4 linked regions of the Caenorhabditis elegans genome follow. The protein of the gene in region 1 interacts with the protein of each later gene in a pairwise test. Each region holds a gene or a part of one and is shown in the gene's direction. Other genes may lie near its edges.

Region 1 (3,319 bases):
TTCAGAGGAGCAGGTGTTGTTTGAATTTTCTCAATTGCTTTCTCGTCAAGTTTCAGCGAATTAAAAAGCTTCTCATATGCGTAATGCTCTACAGATCGATATCTTTCTCGTTTCATTTCAAACGGAAACGCGTAATAGTTTGAAAGTGGTCGGAATATACCCTGAAATTATGATGATAGTTTAAAAAAATCATGATGATTGAATGCTTACCTCCAAACTTATTACAAGATCATTAATTGAAATCATAATTGGTTCATCATCTTTATCAGTCGATAATCCGGCTACTTCCACTACAGGACGTGTCAATATCCCTTGCTTCTTCCTTTCTCGAATCTCAAACCTCAGCCACATTAAATATTGTCTAAATTTTTAATGTTTAAGAAAATCTCGTTTCTCATATTTCTTGCCCTAGTTTATTTTGACCCAAATCAGCTGGTTTAGTGTGCTCATTTTTCATCCAGTAGGATATTTGTCTCGAATCTGCCTTTTCTTTGGCCATCCACTCCATGAACGTTTTATCGTTCATTCCTATACCAAGTTGAGGGTTTTTCTCATCACAGACAATCAAGAGGGCTTCATTGGTCTTCATAAGAGTCTTTTCGAAGTCTGCATGTTTTTCAAGCATATTAGATTCTATTTCTTACTTATAAAAGCTCACCTTTATCACTTTCTGCTCGGAGTTGCAGTGCATGAATTGAATATGAACGAAGACTTTCTGAGAGATATGCTGCCAATGAATTTATTGTATGGCCGTCTGGCATATTTTCTTGGAGAATAACAAGCGCTTTTTGGTGAACATCGCAACTGTTCGTACATAAAAGTTCTTCAACTGCCGTTTCGGGTAGATTTAAAGACATAAGAATTTGATAATGAGTGTAGTGAGCGGCACTGGGATATCTGCAAGTTTAATCATTGTTGCAATCTATAAGTCACTTCAGTTCTCACCTTTTTCCGCCAGCTCTAAGTGCAAAATTGTATCCACAGTGTAGGAGATCTGATTCATTTCCAATTAACACAATTTTCTCTTCATCCATGTTTGATCCTTAAAAACGGAATTGAGAAAGAAATCAATAAATAGTTGATTAATCACCAGGCAAAGCAGTTCAAACAACTAGTGCAAACTTCAAAAGAAAATGAGATGTTCAGAATTAAAAAACTGGTAAAAATAAAGAAAACTGTTCAACTTCGAAGAAATTATTCAAAAAATTCGTTCGGTGACTAGGGTAAAAAAGAGGCAATTAAAGGCGCATGCCATTTTTCGGTCTCATGGTCTTGCGGTGACGTACGCAGCCAATTGGCCTGGCCGTTGACTGAGTATTCAACGCTTCAACGATAAACGTTGAAAGCAACTAAATTTCTTTTCGATTTTTGCCTGAAATTTTTGAATTTTTCGCGTGAAACTGGATTTTTAACATGTTTTGTATAAAAATTGAAAAAATTCACATGTTTCAATGTATATTTTGTATTAAAACATGTTTTTATATTAATGTAGTTTTTAGTTACGTAATTTAGGGTTTTCTTAACAAAAACCTTGCCCAAAATACTTTTTTTTCAAATATATTTCTTGTGTTTTGTTCGGATTATAACTCTTTTCTATCAATATCTTCGCTAATATTAATATTCAAATTTTCAGCTTTCGTCAAACAGTGGGCAACATGGCTGCCAATCAAAACGTGACCAAGAAGAAGAAGGCCGTCATCGGCGGAATCTTCAAGGCTGAGCTTAACAACTTCCTGATGAAGGAGCTTGCTGAGGATGGATACTCCGGAGTCGAGGTAAAATTATTAATCAAAAATATAGCATTTAAGCTTCAAGTTTTGCAGGTTCGCAGTACCCCAGCCAGAGCTGAGGTCATCATCATGGCGACCCGCACCCAAAACGTTTTGGGAGAGCGAGGACGCAGAATTAAGGAGCTCACCTCGGTTGTCCAAAAGAGATTCGGATTCGAGGAGGGATCCGTCGAGGTAAAAATACATTTATTGAAAAATAAAATACATTTAACTTTTTAGCTCTACGCCGAGAAGGTTTCCAACAGAGGACTCTGCGCTGTCGCTCAGTGCGAATCCCTCAGATACAAGCTCGTCGGAGGTCTTGCCGTCCGTCGTGCTTGCTACGGAGTTCTCCGTTTCATCATGGAGTCTGGAGCTCAAGGAGTTGAGGTATGATTACTTTATTTTAATAGACAAAAAATTTAACTTTATTGCATCTAATATTCGAAACTTGTATTATATGGAATTTGTATTCATTAAAAATTATAGGTTATCGTCTCTGGAAAGCTTCGTGGACAGCGTGCTAAGGCCATGAAGTTCGTTGATGGACTCATGATTCACTCTGGACACCCAGTCAACGACTACATCCAACAAGCCGTCAGACACGTTCAACTCCGTCAGGGTCAGTGATTTTTTACGGGGAAGATTTGGTTAAGAAAGGATTTTTGATCGCAAAAAACATGTCGTTCGAAAAGTTTAGATGTTGCTTTTCAGTTTTTTAATTTTAAAAATCAAGTTTAAAAATTTGTATTACTATTTTGTAAGTTTCCATCTTCATTTTTTTATTTTCAGGAGTCATCGGTATCAAGGTCAAGATCATGCTTCCATACGACCCACGCGGACAGAACGGACCAAGAAACGCCCTCCCAGACCACGTCCAAATCGTCGAGCCACAAGAGGAAGTCCTTCCAAAGGAACCACACAGCCAGCACAAGGAGGAGAAGAAGGATGTTCAAGTCCCAGCAGCTCAACCAGTTGCTCCAGTTCAATAAACTGTTGTTACATACCCAATAAATTGTTGGTTAATTGTTACTCGTTATTTTCAGTGTAATGATATTTAAAGTTTACAATCAACGTACTTTCAAAAATCGAAAGGGAGGAGTCTAGGAAACTGTTTCGTTGCAGAACCCCCAATTACATAAACGCGACACGCCGGTGATAAGGGTGACCTCGGTGTCTCATATCGTCGCGCTTCTCTTCATTTCGTTTCATTTCATTTCTCCTCTTTGCAACTTTTAACCCCTTCAAAAATGTACGTCTTCTCTTTTTCGGTTCTTCTTGCCGTTCTAACAATGCCGATGCTTCCACCAGTTGCAAATGCGCTTAAACGGTCTGAAACAGGCGCAGAGGAGACTTCAGAGCAAGATGCGGTCAAGTTAGTTGGTAGAAAATGTGGTGGTGGAGGCATTTTGTCAACTTTTTCATTTATTTTCAATCTTATTTCTAAAGAAAACTGACTAATACAACTGTTCAGGAGAACCAAAGTGCTCGACATGGCTCAAAAAGTGACCCGTCAAATCATCAGCTCCGCAAATGCTCCAGGAGCTATC
Region 2 (5,192 bases), on another chromosome or scaffold:
ACAAATATCAAGATCAAAATGAGGAGGATGCTGGAAAGTTGATGGATTACTTGTGTAATAAGATCTATACACTTGATGATGAGAAACGATTGAGACAACGTGCTATGCTCTGCCATGTTTACTATCTGGCTGTTCATGACAAGTGGCACCGCGCCAGAGATCTTCTTCTTATGAGTCACATGCAAGCTATCGTTGATCATTCTGATGTCGACACTCAAATCCTCTACAACAGAACTATCTGCCAACTCGGTCTCTGCGCTTTCCGACACGGTTTCATTCGCGAAGCTCATCAAGGACTATCTGAAATTCAAAATACCCAACGTGCCAAGGAGTTGCTTGCTCAAGCTGTTGGAACTCGTCAGCACGAAAAGACTGCTGAACAAGAGAAGATTGATCGTTCCCGTCAAGTTCCATATCATATGCACATCAATGTTGAACTTATGGAGTGTGTCTATCTGATCTGTTCGATGCTTCTCGAAATTCCACACATGGCTAGTTGCGAATTCGAAATGCGTCGTCGTATGCTCAGCAGAAGTTTCCATTACCAATTGAAGCAAAGCGAGAAAGCTTCTCTCACTGGACCACCAGAGAATACCCGTGAACATGTTGTCGCCGCATCGAAAGCAATGTTGAATGGAGATTGGAAAAAGTGTCAAGACTATATCGTCAATGACAAGATGAACCAGAAGGTCTGGAATCTTTTCCATAACGCTGAGACTGTTAAGGGAATGGTTGTGAGACGTATTCAAGAGGAATCTCTCAGAACTTATTTGCTCACATACTCTACAGTTTATGCCACTGTTTCGCTCAAGAAGCTTGCGGATTTGTTCGAACTTTCAAAGAAAGATGTTCATAGCATCATCAGGTATTTGTAATATTTTACTAGACAGTACATAATTTTTTTTTATTTTTTCAGTAAAATGATCATCCAAGAGGAACTTTCGGCTACACTTGACGAGCCCACCGACTGTCTCATCATGCACCGTGTTGAACCTTCCAGACTTCAAATGCTTGCTCTCAACTTGTCTGACAAACTTCAAACTCTTGCCGAAAACAATGAACAAATTCTGGAGCCGCGCACTGGACGTGGTGGTTATCAAGGTCCAGGATCGTGGTTTCCAGGAAGGAACGAGCGGCAAGGAGATAAGCAGAAAGGATCTGGTGGATACCAAGGAGAACGACGTGGAGGACAAGGACAAGACGGAAAGCGAGGAAATTGGGGATCTCAAGGTGGTCAGCAACGTCGTCATCCTCAAAAGCCACGAGCCTTCTAAATATCCATTTTTCAATCGTCTCTCCCATTCGTGGAACCCGCTAATACGCCTTTCATGGCGCCTGCAATTAGTCTCAAAAACTTTTTGCAGGCGCCAATACTTGTTGAATCTTTTATTTAATTGATCAGTTTTTTTGGTAATCCCCCACCCTTTCCCACTTTTCCTTGTTCAGTGTGAGATCTGAACTTTAAAGCTCTCATTTTTCGTTTCCGGTTAGTAGTGTTTAAGTTATACTCTTTCCATACTGTTTTGTTTTTGCTAATTATTTATATTGGGTTGCCGGATATTATTTTAATGAAATATTTAATTTGATTCGTCCAATTTTAAGTAATTTTTTATGAGCCCCGGTTCTGTCCAATCAGTTATTTTCTCAGATCCAACAATAAAAGTAACAAAAAATTAACATAGAATTCATATTTCAGGTTACTGGAAACATAAATTTCGCCTCAAAATGGGTAAAAGGAAGGCATTCATTGATAAGAAAGCCAGTCAAAGTTTTCGATTGGTTCCGGATAATAGGGAAAGAAGTGAACGATTCAAGCCAACTCAAGAACATTTGGAGGAACAGCAAAAGTATGGAGTCTACTACGACGATGATTATGATTATTTGCAGCACATGCGAGCTGTTAATGAGGTTTGTCATCTTAAAATCAATTTGATCAAATACCGAAACTTAAAAAAAAGTGTTTGTTTTTCGATTTTTCAATGAAATCAAAAGATTTTAGGATATGTCAAAAAATAGCTTAAAATTTTGGTCTTTGTACTTCTTTTAAGTAAAAAATTTCTATGTTTTTTTAATCAGCATTTTTTACATTATTTCATAAAATTGAATTTTATGGATGATTAAAAAAAAGTTTTCCATATTACGGAAAATCAAAAAAAAAACAATTTTTCGATCACCTCTTTTAGAACATAATCGAAAAACAATCTTCTTGTATTGGTAAAATAATCATTTAAATTTTCAGCCGATGAAGCTGGAAAATGTTCATGAAGAAGTCGAGAAAACGACCATCAAAACGAGTGGTTCATCAGCATTCCCACCAGCTCCACCACTTTTCGGACTTGTCGGTGCTCTTAAGAAACCGGAATTTTTTGACGAAGATGTTGCAAATGCGTTGGAAGAGGTGACAGATGATCGTAACACCGGAGAACTTGAAGATAATTTTATCACACTTGCTGGTGGTCTTCTTGATGAAAGAACTACAGTTTATAGAAGTACAAGACGAGGTGAAGATTCGGAAGAAGAAGAGGATGACGATGAAGACGATGAGATGTATGATGATTATAATGATGACGAGTTATTTGGAGAAGAGGCTGTTGGAGAGATTAGAGTTGAAAGAGCTGATCAAAGAGTTATTGATAATGCTTTTGAAGAACTCATGGATCGTGAATACAACACCGATCAGGTATTATTTCAGAATTATTGGCTTGAAAAATATGATAATTAAACTTATTTAAAAATCGAACAGTTTTCGAAAAATGCCATAAATTTTCGCCATTTTTCCTCTCTTTAGAATGAAAGGATATGTTTTTAATTTTTTCTCTTTACCATAAGAAAGACTTGATTTAAAAAAAAATGATTTTTTGACTAGATTTTTTTTAAAAAATTGTTCTTAGATTTTTTGGTTTTCCGGAAAATCAAAAAAAAACTTTTAAAAAAATCAAATTTTTCGCTTATCGGCTTTTCATAGAAAACGAAAAAATTTAGATTTCCAGTAAAATCGAAAATTGAAAATTGAAAATTTTTTAATTTTTAAAAATTAAAAAATCGAAAATTATCGTTTTTTAGTTTTTTTTTCGGAAAATTCTTTAAGTTTTGGCAAGTTTTCCTCTTTTTAGAATAAAATAATCTTCAACATAAACAAGACTTGATTTAATGAAACATACATTTTTTAGTTTTCTCAAAAAATTTTTCAATCTTTCGGTTTCCTCTAAATAAACTCATTTTTATGAAAAATAAACTTCAAGAAAATTATGTGTTACCAGAAAACATTCTACTTTTATTTATTATTTTTGAGATTTAATCTGACCCAGTTTTAAAAAATGAATTAATTTTCAGATCGGAGAGCTTGATGGTGACGACTATGATGTTGGAGGAGCACTTGAACCGAACGCTGGACGACTTCACAAACTTATAAATGACAAAGGACCTTCAAATGCAGAGTATGATGAAGAGGTAGTACTTTTCAAAAGAATTATTTTCATTCATCATTTAATTTTACAGCTCGCCAAGCATTATGTACGTGAACGAATGCGTCTCATTGAAGAGGGAGTCATCAAAGACAAAGAAGAATACGAGATTGTGGAAGTGGATGAGGGTACAAATAAGAAAATGAAATGGGATTGTGAATCATTTGCTACTCAATACACTAATATCTACAATCATCCGACACTCATCAAGGAGCCACGTGGTTTATCCAGAAAGGCATTGAAACGATTCGATAAAGCTGTTGAAGAGATGGATATTGCTGAAGAAGATGAAGATGATGATGAGGATATGGAGGATGATGATGATAAGGAAAGCGTTTTTTCAACTGTTTCTACTTTCCGACCAAAAAATGAAACTCCGGAACAGAGAAGTCTGCGGAAAAAAGCTGTAAAAGAGGCCAGAAAGCTGAGAAGAGTTGAGAAAAAGGCTAACAAGACTATGTTCGCCGAGGAGAAACGAAAGGTAATTTTTCATATTTCATATTGAAAAAGTATGAAACAACTAAAAGAAAATATTTTCACACTCACAACCATGGGAGTCACCAAAAAACCTTTTGAGCCAAAAAAAAACAAAAAAATATCGAATTTTTCCCCTCTCCCTTTTTTTGTTTTATTGGTCCGAAAAAACAACAAAAAAAACACGACAGCCATGCACCAAGCGTGCCGCTTTTTTTATTTTAAGAAAATTAAAATGTTGGTAATTTTTCTTCTATTGAAGACAATAATATTTATGGTTTTTGTTCCTCATCGGCATCAACAAAATTTGAAAAAAAAATGTAAAAAAAAATTGTTCGATTTTTTTTCAAATTATTGATGCTTCAATTAACTCGGTAATAATGCTAAGAAATTTTTTAAAACAATTTTTTGCCGGCACTTTTAAACCTCTCAATTAAAATAATCTTTTCAGCTTGCGAAAGGACGTATCGGACAGATCAAGGCTCGCCCAATCTAGTCACTTCAATTCAAATTCTATTCAAATTAATTTGTTGCCTGTTTCTTGTTTCTTGACCCAAAATTTCGCTTTCCATCATCTCCACACTTGTTCTTCTGTTCCAGCTGTTTTCTTTTTTTTTTGTTATTTCCCTAAACTCCCATTCTATTCTTGTGTGTTTGTTTTCTCAAATTTTTTTAGTGATGAATTTGAGCACCAAAACTTTTAGATTTTATCGGAGCCCTCCAGAGGGGTGCTTCTTTGCATCAAAACCCGTCTCAAAATATTCCTTATATTCCCTAAAGCTCGCGACTCAAGAGAGACAAAGTGGCAAAGAAGAAGAAGAAGAAGTATCAACTGCTCTCAACCACAAAATGGGCGGAGTTCGGAGCATCCGCCCCTTCGACTCAATTGTGTTGTCGCCTTCTTGCTCTTCTTCACATTCTTGTTTCCTTTTCCAACTAACGTCTTTTTCTACATCTTCTACGTCTACAAACTCTTCTTATTCAAATGACATCGTGATAACAAATCATGGTAGAAGGAGGAGTTACCATAGTTAAATATCTTCTATTCCTGGCTAATTTAGTATTATGGGTACGGTAGATTACAATATTAAATTGCTACAAAAAAATAAATTTCCAGGTGGGAGGACTGTCTCTGATTATTGTTGGATCCATTTTACAGTTGAAATTTGATAATGTATTAGATATATTAGGCGATGAAAGGTAAGAAATCTGAAAGTTGGGGTCATGGCGCGAGTGAAACTTTTTAGCTACCGT
Region 3 (3,673 bases), on another chromosome or scaffold:
ATTACTGTTTTTTGAGTGAAAATGTGTGACCAGTAAGGCATGAGCAGCTGTTCCAAGTTGTTTGAATTAAAATACTTTTAAAATTAAAAAAAACTGGATTTCTCGGTATCCCTTTAAATCTTATAGTTAGTCCCCCTGTTTTAAAATTCAATATACCAAAAATGTTTAGTTCAACACACGAGCCTCAGCTGGAGCGTTTTATTTTTCAATTAAAGTTTTACGAATGCTACTATTTCACGAGAGAAACCAGAATTTACAAAAACAATTTCTGAAAAAAAAACTCACCTTCGCCAAATTCGAGTGTCCCTTTAAAACTTCGAGATTCGCATTTGGATTCGGCTCAGAGACGGGCGTCTTCCATACGGGCTTAACCGCAATAATCGGCCCAAAAACCGCGAAAATCACGGGGAAACATGAGAGTAAGGGCCTCATCAGGCCCACGTTTTAGGCCTCTAGTTTTTGTCCGAGATTTAGGAAAACAATACGGGAGAAAACAAGAACAACAGGGAGGCAAAGAAGTGAGGAAACGGGTGAGGGGGGAGAATGGACATTCCAACATTATTAGATCGATTTAAGCGATATCGTCTGGTTATGATCGACGGAAATCCCTTTTGAATAGACGCTTTTTAAGGAGGGGAAACAGAAATGAAAACTGAGAAAATCGGGAATGAGGGAAAGTGACGGCAGGAAATGAGACTAAATTGGTCATCGATGTGTTGAAATTCTGGATTTTTTTTCGGTTTTGAAAATCTGCTGAATAGAAGATATTTTATTTGAAACAACACAGTTCAGTTATGTTATCGAGAAAAAAAATTACTGAATATAAACTTTACACTAGAAAGATGAAATTAAACATTTTTGCGTCAAATTTTCAATTAAAAATAATTGAAAACTAAACTTTAAAGCCGTTGTAACACCTTATACAGCAATTTTTTATGCAAAATTTTTCACAAATATTTGTTCAATTAATACATATTTATGTTTGAAAACATTAAAATTTTCCATGCCAACTAGATGTACTAGTTGACCACCAGGCGCGCCTCTCGATTCTCTCCCGATTCCGTTTTCTAAAGACCAATTCTAACACCGCCGCCGTGGCCTCCTTAGCTCAGTTGGTAGAGCGTGAGACTTTTAATCTTAAGGTCAGGGGTTCGAGTCCCCTAGGTGGCTTGATTTTTTTGTTTTTTTTTTCATTGTTGAAAAATTGTTTCTTTCTCAATTTTTTTCAAAAGGAATGGGCCGAACCGGGGATTGAACCCGGGACCTCTCGCACCCAAAGCGAGAATCATACCACTAGACCATTCGGCCACGAGAGACATGCTTCACGGAGGTATACACAATTGAGAGGAACAGAGATAGCGCTGGCCAGAGGAGAGTGTAATGCAAATAAACGATTATGGGGAATGAATAATAAATTGAGAATTTAATTCTGTTTTACTTCAAACTTATATATTTATTTCAAAAATAACTGAACAAACATGAATAACTCTGATTAAGAACCAGTTTTCCTCCATCATGCTCAACAAACAAACAAAAGATAAGTTGATTTATCGGGTCAATGAAAAATGCAAACATTGTAAACTTTTGATTAGGATTTTCAAGAAAAAAAAACGTGTCTAACTAGAAACAAAAGTGTAGGTTGGTAAACAACATGAAAAAGTATAAAAGTGGCAAGAATTACACGGGGTATACTCACAGAATCCCATTGAGCGATGCGTTGTGTGATTATATTGTTTGCAGTTGCTTTGGCTGTGGCTCAGGTTAGTTTTTCAATTTTAAACTAATTGTAAGGAATTTGAAAATTTATAATTTCTAAGTGCTGAGAGAAAGCCTAATAATTGTATTTTCTTTTCGCAATTTCGTGTTAACAAAACTACTTGAAATGTGAATTGGCGCTTTAACGACTGTTTTTGAACCTCTTCGAATTTCAATTTTCGACATCATTAACTGAAAAATCTCCTTTTTTAGAGTAATATCTGTATTCCCGTATATGGAAGTAGACCGACCCTGTTTTAATGTGGGCCGATAAAAATCTCGTAGTGACGTTTAAAATTGATAGAAGCATTCCAATTAACGACGTGTTTCTCAACTCAATTTGATTTCAGGCCTCCTCAATCCGCGAAACCCGTCAAGCCTCCTGCGGATGTGCTCAATCGGTTCAGCCGACCTGCTCCTGCCAGCAGGCCTCACAACAATACAGCTGCTCCTGCCAACCTTCAACTCCATGCTCTTGCGCCAGCAGCCAGCAATATCAATTGCAGACGTCTCAATGCATGCCTGCTTGTCAACAGTCCTGCAGTCAACAGTGCCAATCTAACACCAACACTCAATGCCAGCCAACGTGTCAGCAATCCTGCCAGACATCGTCTTGCAATCCGATGACTTCCACACCAATTCCAGCGTCGCAAAGTTGTCTTCCAGAGTGTGAGAACCGATGCATGCAGCAGTGTACTCAACAGCAGACCGCGCAACAGTGCCAGCCAATTTGTCAGCAGCAGTGCCAGCAGGAATGTGGGTCCACAGGAAATATGATGTACAATAATCAGGATCCGTATAATCAAATGCAGTATGGAGGGTACAATCAGCAAGGAAATCAGTACCAGAACCAAAATCAGTACCAAAATCCAAACCAGATCCAAAATCAGTACAACCAGAACCAGTACCAAAACCAAAACTACTACAACCCTTACCAACAAACTCAATGCCAACAACAATGTGCTCCACAATGCTCTCAACAAACTTCCACCAACTGCCAGCAGTGTCAGAACTCCTGCCAGAACAGCAACACTCAAACCATAACCATCTACGTGCAAGCCTCCCCACAGACCTCCCAATGTGTTCCCCAGTGCCAGCAACAATGCCAACAGCAGTGCCAAACTAGAACCACGGCCTCCCAACAGTGTGCTCCAGCTTGCTCGACATCCTGCAATCAATCCTGTAATCAGCCGGCCCAAATGGCATGTCAACCAATGCAAAATAGTCAGTGCGGATGTCAACAAAACTATTCGCCGTGCGGAAATGTCTCCGGGCAGTGTTGTTTGAAGAAGTAAAATTCTTGAAGATTGTATTTCTGTAAATCTAGGAAATGATGAATAAATGTTTCTCACTACCAGTTTTTTTGTTAAATGGGTCCTTTCAAAAGTGCTGAAGCTAATAAATTTGGTACCTGGTATTCACACAACATTTTTTGTTGAATGGAAAAAAGGTGGATGTACCTTTAAAGAGTACTGTAGTTTCGAGCTCTGTTTTTCAGGAATAATCATTTCGAGACCCGGAAAAACAATTAGAAATATTAAGAAAACTATTGTTGTATTGAAATTATGTTGATAAGATTTTATAGAAGATGACCGAAAATGTTTTAAAATTTATAATTGATTAGTATTTTTCGAATTTTTGTTTTCAGAATCAAGGAAAAATCGAAAACTCGACCCACTTGGTCCCTGTTGTTTGTTCTGCTACTACGTAGTAGTTGAGTGAGAGCAAGAAGAGGTGAAAAGTGCATTGAGAAAAAGAGACAAAAAGTTACCCCTTCAAATGCATATCGCTACATATATATAAATAGATGTCCAACTTTTTTCGCACTTTTCAATGAAAAGAAGGGGAAAGTTTATTAGTAATTTTTTTGAATTTTGAAATGTATATTTTTAGGTAGGAAATTTTCGATTTTTTAAAT
Region 4 (4,976 bases), 5.8 Mb from region 1:
AAACTGTAGTAGCTGACGGAACAGCGACGATCCCGAAGCCGAAGAGAAAAAGGCCGCCGAGGAAGAAGCCTGAGCCGAAGCCGAATATCGTTTTTGAAACAACGCCGAATCCTCCGACAGAAAGCTTCGCAGCCAACAACAATTTCCAGCAGTTCCAGTTTCAAAATCAGCCTGGTAGTTGGACCTACAACAATGGATTCGGCAATGGATATGGGTACGGCGGTGGAACCACTGGATACATGGATAATCTTGTTGGCAGAGGGTTTGACACGGTTTCTCAGCAGCCTGGATTTCAGAATCAAGGTACATTTTTTAAAAGGAATTGAGAAAAATGTGCCAAAAAATTTTAAAGGTGGACTACGCTTTGTGGGGAAATTGCTTTAAAATACGCCTATGGTACCACAATGACCGAATATCATGATTAAAAAATTCAAAAATTTTTTCTAAATTTTATATGATTTTTTGAAAATTGGAAAAATCACAGTTTTCCCCTAATTCCTATTTGAATTACCGCCAATTGAATTTGTTCGATGGGGCGCGCTTGCACGTTTTTAAATTTATTTATTTTATTTTTTGTTATTTTCCACCGATTTTTAATGTTTTCGGTGTATTTTTGCTCGAATTTTAGAGAAAAAGTCAAAATAAATGCAAATTTTCGATTAAAAAGTGCGCTTACAGGCGTAAATCAGTGAAATTAATTAATTCAGGTTCGAAATCGTTTAAAAGCGTTACTTTTTCATTTTTACGCCTGTAAGCGTGCTTTTTAATCGAAAATTTGCATTTATGTTGATTTTTTCTCTAAAATTCGAGCAAAAATACACCGAAAACATTAAAAATCGGTGGAAAATAACAAAAAATAAAATAAATAAATTTAAAAACGTGCAAGCGCGCCCCATCGAACAAATTCAATTGGCGGTAATTCAAATAGGAATTAGGGGAAAACTGTGATTTTTTCAATTTTCAAAAAATCATATAAAATTTATAAATTTTTTTTTGAATTTTTTATCATGAAATTCGGTCATTGTGGTACCATAGGCATGTTTTAAAGCAATTTCCCCACTAGCGCTACCCCACCTTTAAAGGAATTGTGAAAATTGTGAAAAAAAAAATCAAAATTTCGAAAAAAAAAGCGCTAATTTTAACTAAAATCTCTAATTTTGGCCACTTTTCCGTGCTGCAGCGTCCGAAAGTGCACTTTTTTTGAATTATTATTCTTATTATTATACATTAAAAACCCCCGTACTCCTCCAATAACGCCAATATTATCGACCATCTGGACGTGACCGCGTGCAACCACGGCCTAGCTGCCGCCACCCCATTCAAACGAGACATTTCGGCGGGAGAGTCCTTTTTTTCGATAATTCGGATTTTTTTGTCTGTTTCAAGTAATTTTCGCCATAAAAATTACCATTTTCTTCTTCGGTGCCATTTCTAATGATTTTCCAGTGCGTTTTGAGTCTGAAAGTTTGAAAATAAGAGTTTTTGCACAAAAATGTGTGAGAAAAGTTCAAGAAAATCGTCGAAAAATTCAATAAATTAATTTTAAAATTTAAAAAAAAATTAATTTTTTTTAAAAATCAATTCTGTGCATACACCGCCACGCAAAAGTGCACACAATTACCTACCGTAGTCAATGCGAAATTAAATGATTTTTATCGATTTTCTTCATTTTCAGGTTACGAATTCACCGGTTTGCCTGCAAATAACTCGAATAATTTCCCATTTTTGTGATTTAATTTTTCAAATATCCTTATCTATGCCCTCAGGTTTATTTTATCTCATTTCCACTCGTGTTTTTTGAATAAAAATTCTTTTTTTTTCTTCTAGATTTCCGTTTATTTCAGAATGTCGAAGACTGTAAGAATTCCGGACATGTTCCTCAAAGCATCCGCTGCCTCTAAACGGTATTTCCCGCTCTGAAAATTCAAAAAAAACCACCGAAATTTCAGAAAATCCGCTTCAAATACTGAAAATATTCCGGAAAAAGTTCCCGCGGGCAATGAAAATCAAGAAGTCAAGAAAATGAAGTTACAAGCACCAGAACCAACTGAAATTCTGCTAAAATCCCTGCTAACCGGTGAATCTTGGTCGAAACTTTTAGAGGAGGAATTCAAAAAAGGCTATATTTCGAAAATCGAGAAATTCTTGAATTCCGAAGTGAACAAGGGCAAGCAAGTGTTCCCACCGCCCACACAAATTTTCACAACATTCAATCTTCTGCCATTCGACGAGATCAGCGTGGTTATCATCGGTCAAGACCCCTATCACGATGATAATCAAGCTCACGGGCTCTCCTTCAGTGTTCAGAAGGGTGTAAAACCGCCGCCATCGCTGAAAAATATCTATAAAGAGCTTGAATCCGATATTGAAGGCTTCAAGCGGCCCGATCACGGGAACCTGCTCGGCTGGACACGTCAGGGAGTGTTCATGTTGAATGCCACGTTGACGGTTCGGGCTCACGAGGCGAATTCTCACGCGAAGATCGGCTGGCAAACTTTCACGGACACTGTTATTCGGATTATTTCGCGACAATCGGAGAAGCCTATTGTCTTTTTGTTATGGGGAGGATTTGCTCATAAGAAGGAAGAACTGATTGATACAAAGAAACATGTAGTTATAAAGGTCATTATTTTTCTGGATAGAATTCTGGAAAAAGCATGGAAAAGTTGATTTTAAGATTTTTTCCCTAAAAATGTGTTGGAAAACGACAAAAATTGCCGATTTTCACCTGTAAAATCGGAAATTTTGCGATTTTGCTGGAAATTTAGGTAAAAATTGCCAGAAAACCTAGAAAAAAATTCAAGATTTTCCCATAAAATGGTAGTAAAATTGTCACTTTTCAGTTAAAAACTAAAAAAAATTCAGGGGTTTGCTCTAAATTTTCCCCTGATTCCGAATATCTATGTGAAAAATTGGAAAAAAACGTCCCTTTTATTGTAGAAAATCGACGATTTTCAAACGCGCGCCAGAGAGCCAGAGACGATTCTCATTGGAACGCACCGTGTTGTGTCGATTTACGAGATTTGTTTTTTTAAAGCCAATTTTTTGCTGTTTCTTCATTTTTTTTTTCGGTTTTTTGAACATTTTATTATTATAAAACTCGCAAAATTTCCTTATTTTTAGATGGAAAATGATTTAAATTCAGAGAAAAAAAACCGAATTTTTTCGATTTTTTCAAAGAAAATCGGAATTTTTCTTCTTTTTTTTTTTAAATAGAAAACCGGAATTTTTCTATTTCTTTCCAGAGAAAATCGGAATTTTTTCGTTTTTTTTAATTTTTTTCAAAGAAAATCGGAATTTTTTCGATTTTTTTTTTGATTTTTTAGAGAAAATCGGAATATTTTCGATTTTTTCAAAGAAAATCGGAATTTTTTCCATTTTTTCATATAGTTTTCCAGAGAAAATCGGAATTTTTTCCATTTTTTAAAAGAGAAAATCGGAATTTTTTTGAAATTTTTAAGGAGAAAATTAGAATTTTTTCGATTTTTTAAAAGAGAAAATTAAAATTTTTTTTTTCTATTTTTTCAGAGAAAAATCGAAAAACAGAAATTGTTTTTTAATCGAAAAAAAAATTCGAGAAAATTTCTATTTAAAAACTCCAATTTTCTCTTTAAAAACTCAAAAAATTCCGATTTTCTCTGAATTTACCTCCTTTTTCATCTAAAAATAGGAAATTTTCGCGGTTTTCTGATCATAAAATGTTCAATTGGCTCGAAAATACACAATTTTCAACGAAAAAAACCGATAAAAATGAATAAAAAGCTGAAAGCTGGCTCGTAAATCGGCACAAGACACAGCGCGCTTCAATGTCTGGCGCGCGTTTGAAAATCGTCGATTTTCTACAATAAAAGGGACTTTTTTTTCCAATTTTTCACATAGATATTTTAAACAAGGAGCAAATTTGGAGCAAAACCTGGAGAATCTTGTTTTTTTTTTTGGTTTTTAACTGAAAATTGACAATTTTACTACAATTTTGTGGGAAATTCTTGAATTTTTTAAAGTTTTTCTGGCAATTTTTGACATTTTCCACCAAAATTTAAATTAATTTCAAAGGGAAAAATTGATTGGTTTCAGACGTGGAAAATCGCAAAATTTTTGATTTTTGTGAAAAAAAAAACCTATTTTTTAGCGTATTTTAAAAATATTTCCACTAAACTCAAATTTAATTTTTTAAAAAATTTTAAAAAATTTCCAGACCGCCCATCCGTCTCCGCTGAGTGCTCGCAAGTGGTGGGGATGCAAATGCTTCTCGAAATGCAACACGGAGCTCGAAAATTCCGGTCGAAACCCGATTAATTGGGCGGATTTATGAATAAATTCTCCTGTCGAACACCCTGCGTCTCTTCATCTCACACACTCTCTCGCCACTCACTGAAGAACTCTGTTATTTATCGATTTTTCTATTTTCTCTTCATTTTTCCTCATTTTTTCCTCATTTTTTCGGTTTTTCATCATAAAAATTCGATTTTCTGGCCATTTTTTTGTTCAATTTCCAATTTTTCATTCGTTTCAACGATTTTTAAATGCTTTTCACGGAAATTGCAGCGAAAAATTGTTTTTTTAACAGAAAAAAAGAATGCGGCGACAAAAAACCGAAGAGGAACGGAGCTGGACTTCAATTTCTCGGCATTTTTTATGCCTTGAATGTAGAAAATATTTCCGGAATAAGGTAGAGAAGATAATATTCTAATTAAATCGCAGAAAATATATTAAAAATTGAAAAAAAAAAACCGATTTTTCCCAAAAAATATATTAAAAAACCGAAAAAATTCCAATTTCTTCTTTAAAAAAATTTAAAAACATTGAAAAATGCTAATTTTTCTTATAAAAAACGAGAAAATTCCGATTTTTCTCTAAAAATATATTAAAAATTGAAATTATTCCGATTTTTCAGTAAAAATATCAAAAAATCAGATTTTTCTCTAAAAATACATTAAAAAATCAGATTTTTCTCTAAAAATACATTAAAAAATCCG

The links.
Region 2: the proteins of rps-3 (region 1) and T23D8.3 interact in a two-hybrid assay, tested with the Caenorhabditis elegans proteins (2 studies listed by BioGRID).
Region 3: the proteins of rps-3 (region 1) and pqn-71 interact in a two-hybrid assay, tested with the Caenorhabditis elegans proteins (one study listed by BioGRID).
Region 4: the proteins of rps-3 (region 1) and ung-1 interact in a two-hybrid assay, tested with the Caenorhabditis elegans proteins (one study listed by BioGRID).

The regions. Positions count from the first base shown.
Region 1 is NC_003281.10:6,205,170-6,208,488, forward strand, and holds rps-3 (Small ribosomal subunit protein uS3), read left to right. Parts: upstream 1-1,633; 5' UTR 1,634-1,655; coding exon 1,656-1,775; intron 1,776-1,823; coding exon 1,824-1,964; intron 1,965-2,009; coding exon 2,010-2,159; intron 2,160-2,258; coding exon 2,259-2,391; intron 2,392-2,561; coding exon 2,562-2,761; 3' UTR 2,762-2,796; downstream 2,797-3,319. Other genes in the region: sna-3 (NADAR domain-containing protein), read right to left, coding at 1-161, 211-361, 408-606, 659-897, 946-1,034; RutC family protein C23G10.2, read left to right, coding at 3,062-3,144, 3,244-3,319.
Region 2 is NC_003279.8:9,972,820-9,978,011, reverse strand, and holds T23D8.3 (Protein LTV1 homolog), read left to right. Parts: upstream 1-1,696; 5' UTR 1,697-1,725; coding exon 1,726-1,908; intron 1,909-2,239; coding exon 2,240-2,680; intron 2,681-3,333; coding exon 3,334-3,450; intron 3,451-3,498; coding exon 3,499-3,945; intron 3,946-4,389; coding exon 4,390-4,434; 3' UTR 4,435-4,631; downstream 4,632-5,192. Other genes in the region: eif-3.C (Eukaryotic translation initiation factor 3 subunit C), read left to right, coding at 1-865, 917-1,274; tsp-7 (Tetraspanin), read left to right, coding at 4,945-5,007, 5,056-5,138.
Region 3 is NC_003283.11:15,463,989-15,467,661, forward strand, and holds pqn-71 (Prion-like-(Q/N-rich)-domain-bearing protein), read left to right. Parts: upstream 1-1,688; 5' UTR 1,689-1,712; coding exon 1,713-1,760; intron 1,761-2,105; coding exon 2,106-3,050; 3' UTR 3,051-3,112; downstream 3,113-3,673. Other genes in the region: rocf-1 (ZP domain-containing protein), read right to left, coding at 286-432.
Region 4 is NC_003281.10:11,970,959-11,975,934, reverse strand, and holds ung-1 (Uracil-DNA glycosylase), read left to right. Parts: upstream 1-1,844; 5' UTR 1,845-1,845; coding exon 1,846-1,904; intron 1,905-1,949; coding exon 1,950-2,622; intron 2,623-4,195; coding exon 4,196-4,312; 3' UTR 4,313-4,468; downstream 4,469-4,976. Other genes in the region: Y56A3A.31 (SOSS complex subunit A homolog), read right to left, coding at 1,409-1,429; Y56A3A.30 (SP-RING-type domain-containing protein), read left to right, coding at 1-303, 1,676-1,731; Y56A3A.28 (C2H2-type domain-containing protein), read left to right, coding at 4,577-4,669. UniProt on the Caenorhabditis elegans protein: Excises uracil residues from the DNA which can arise as a result of misincorporation of dUMP residues by DNA polymerase or due to deamination of cytosine.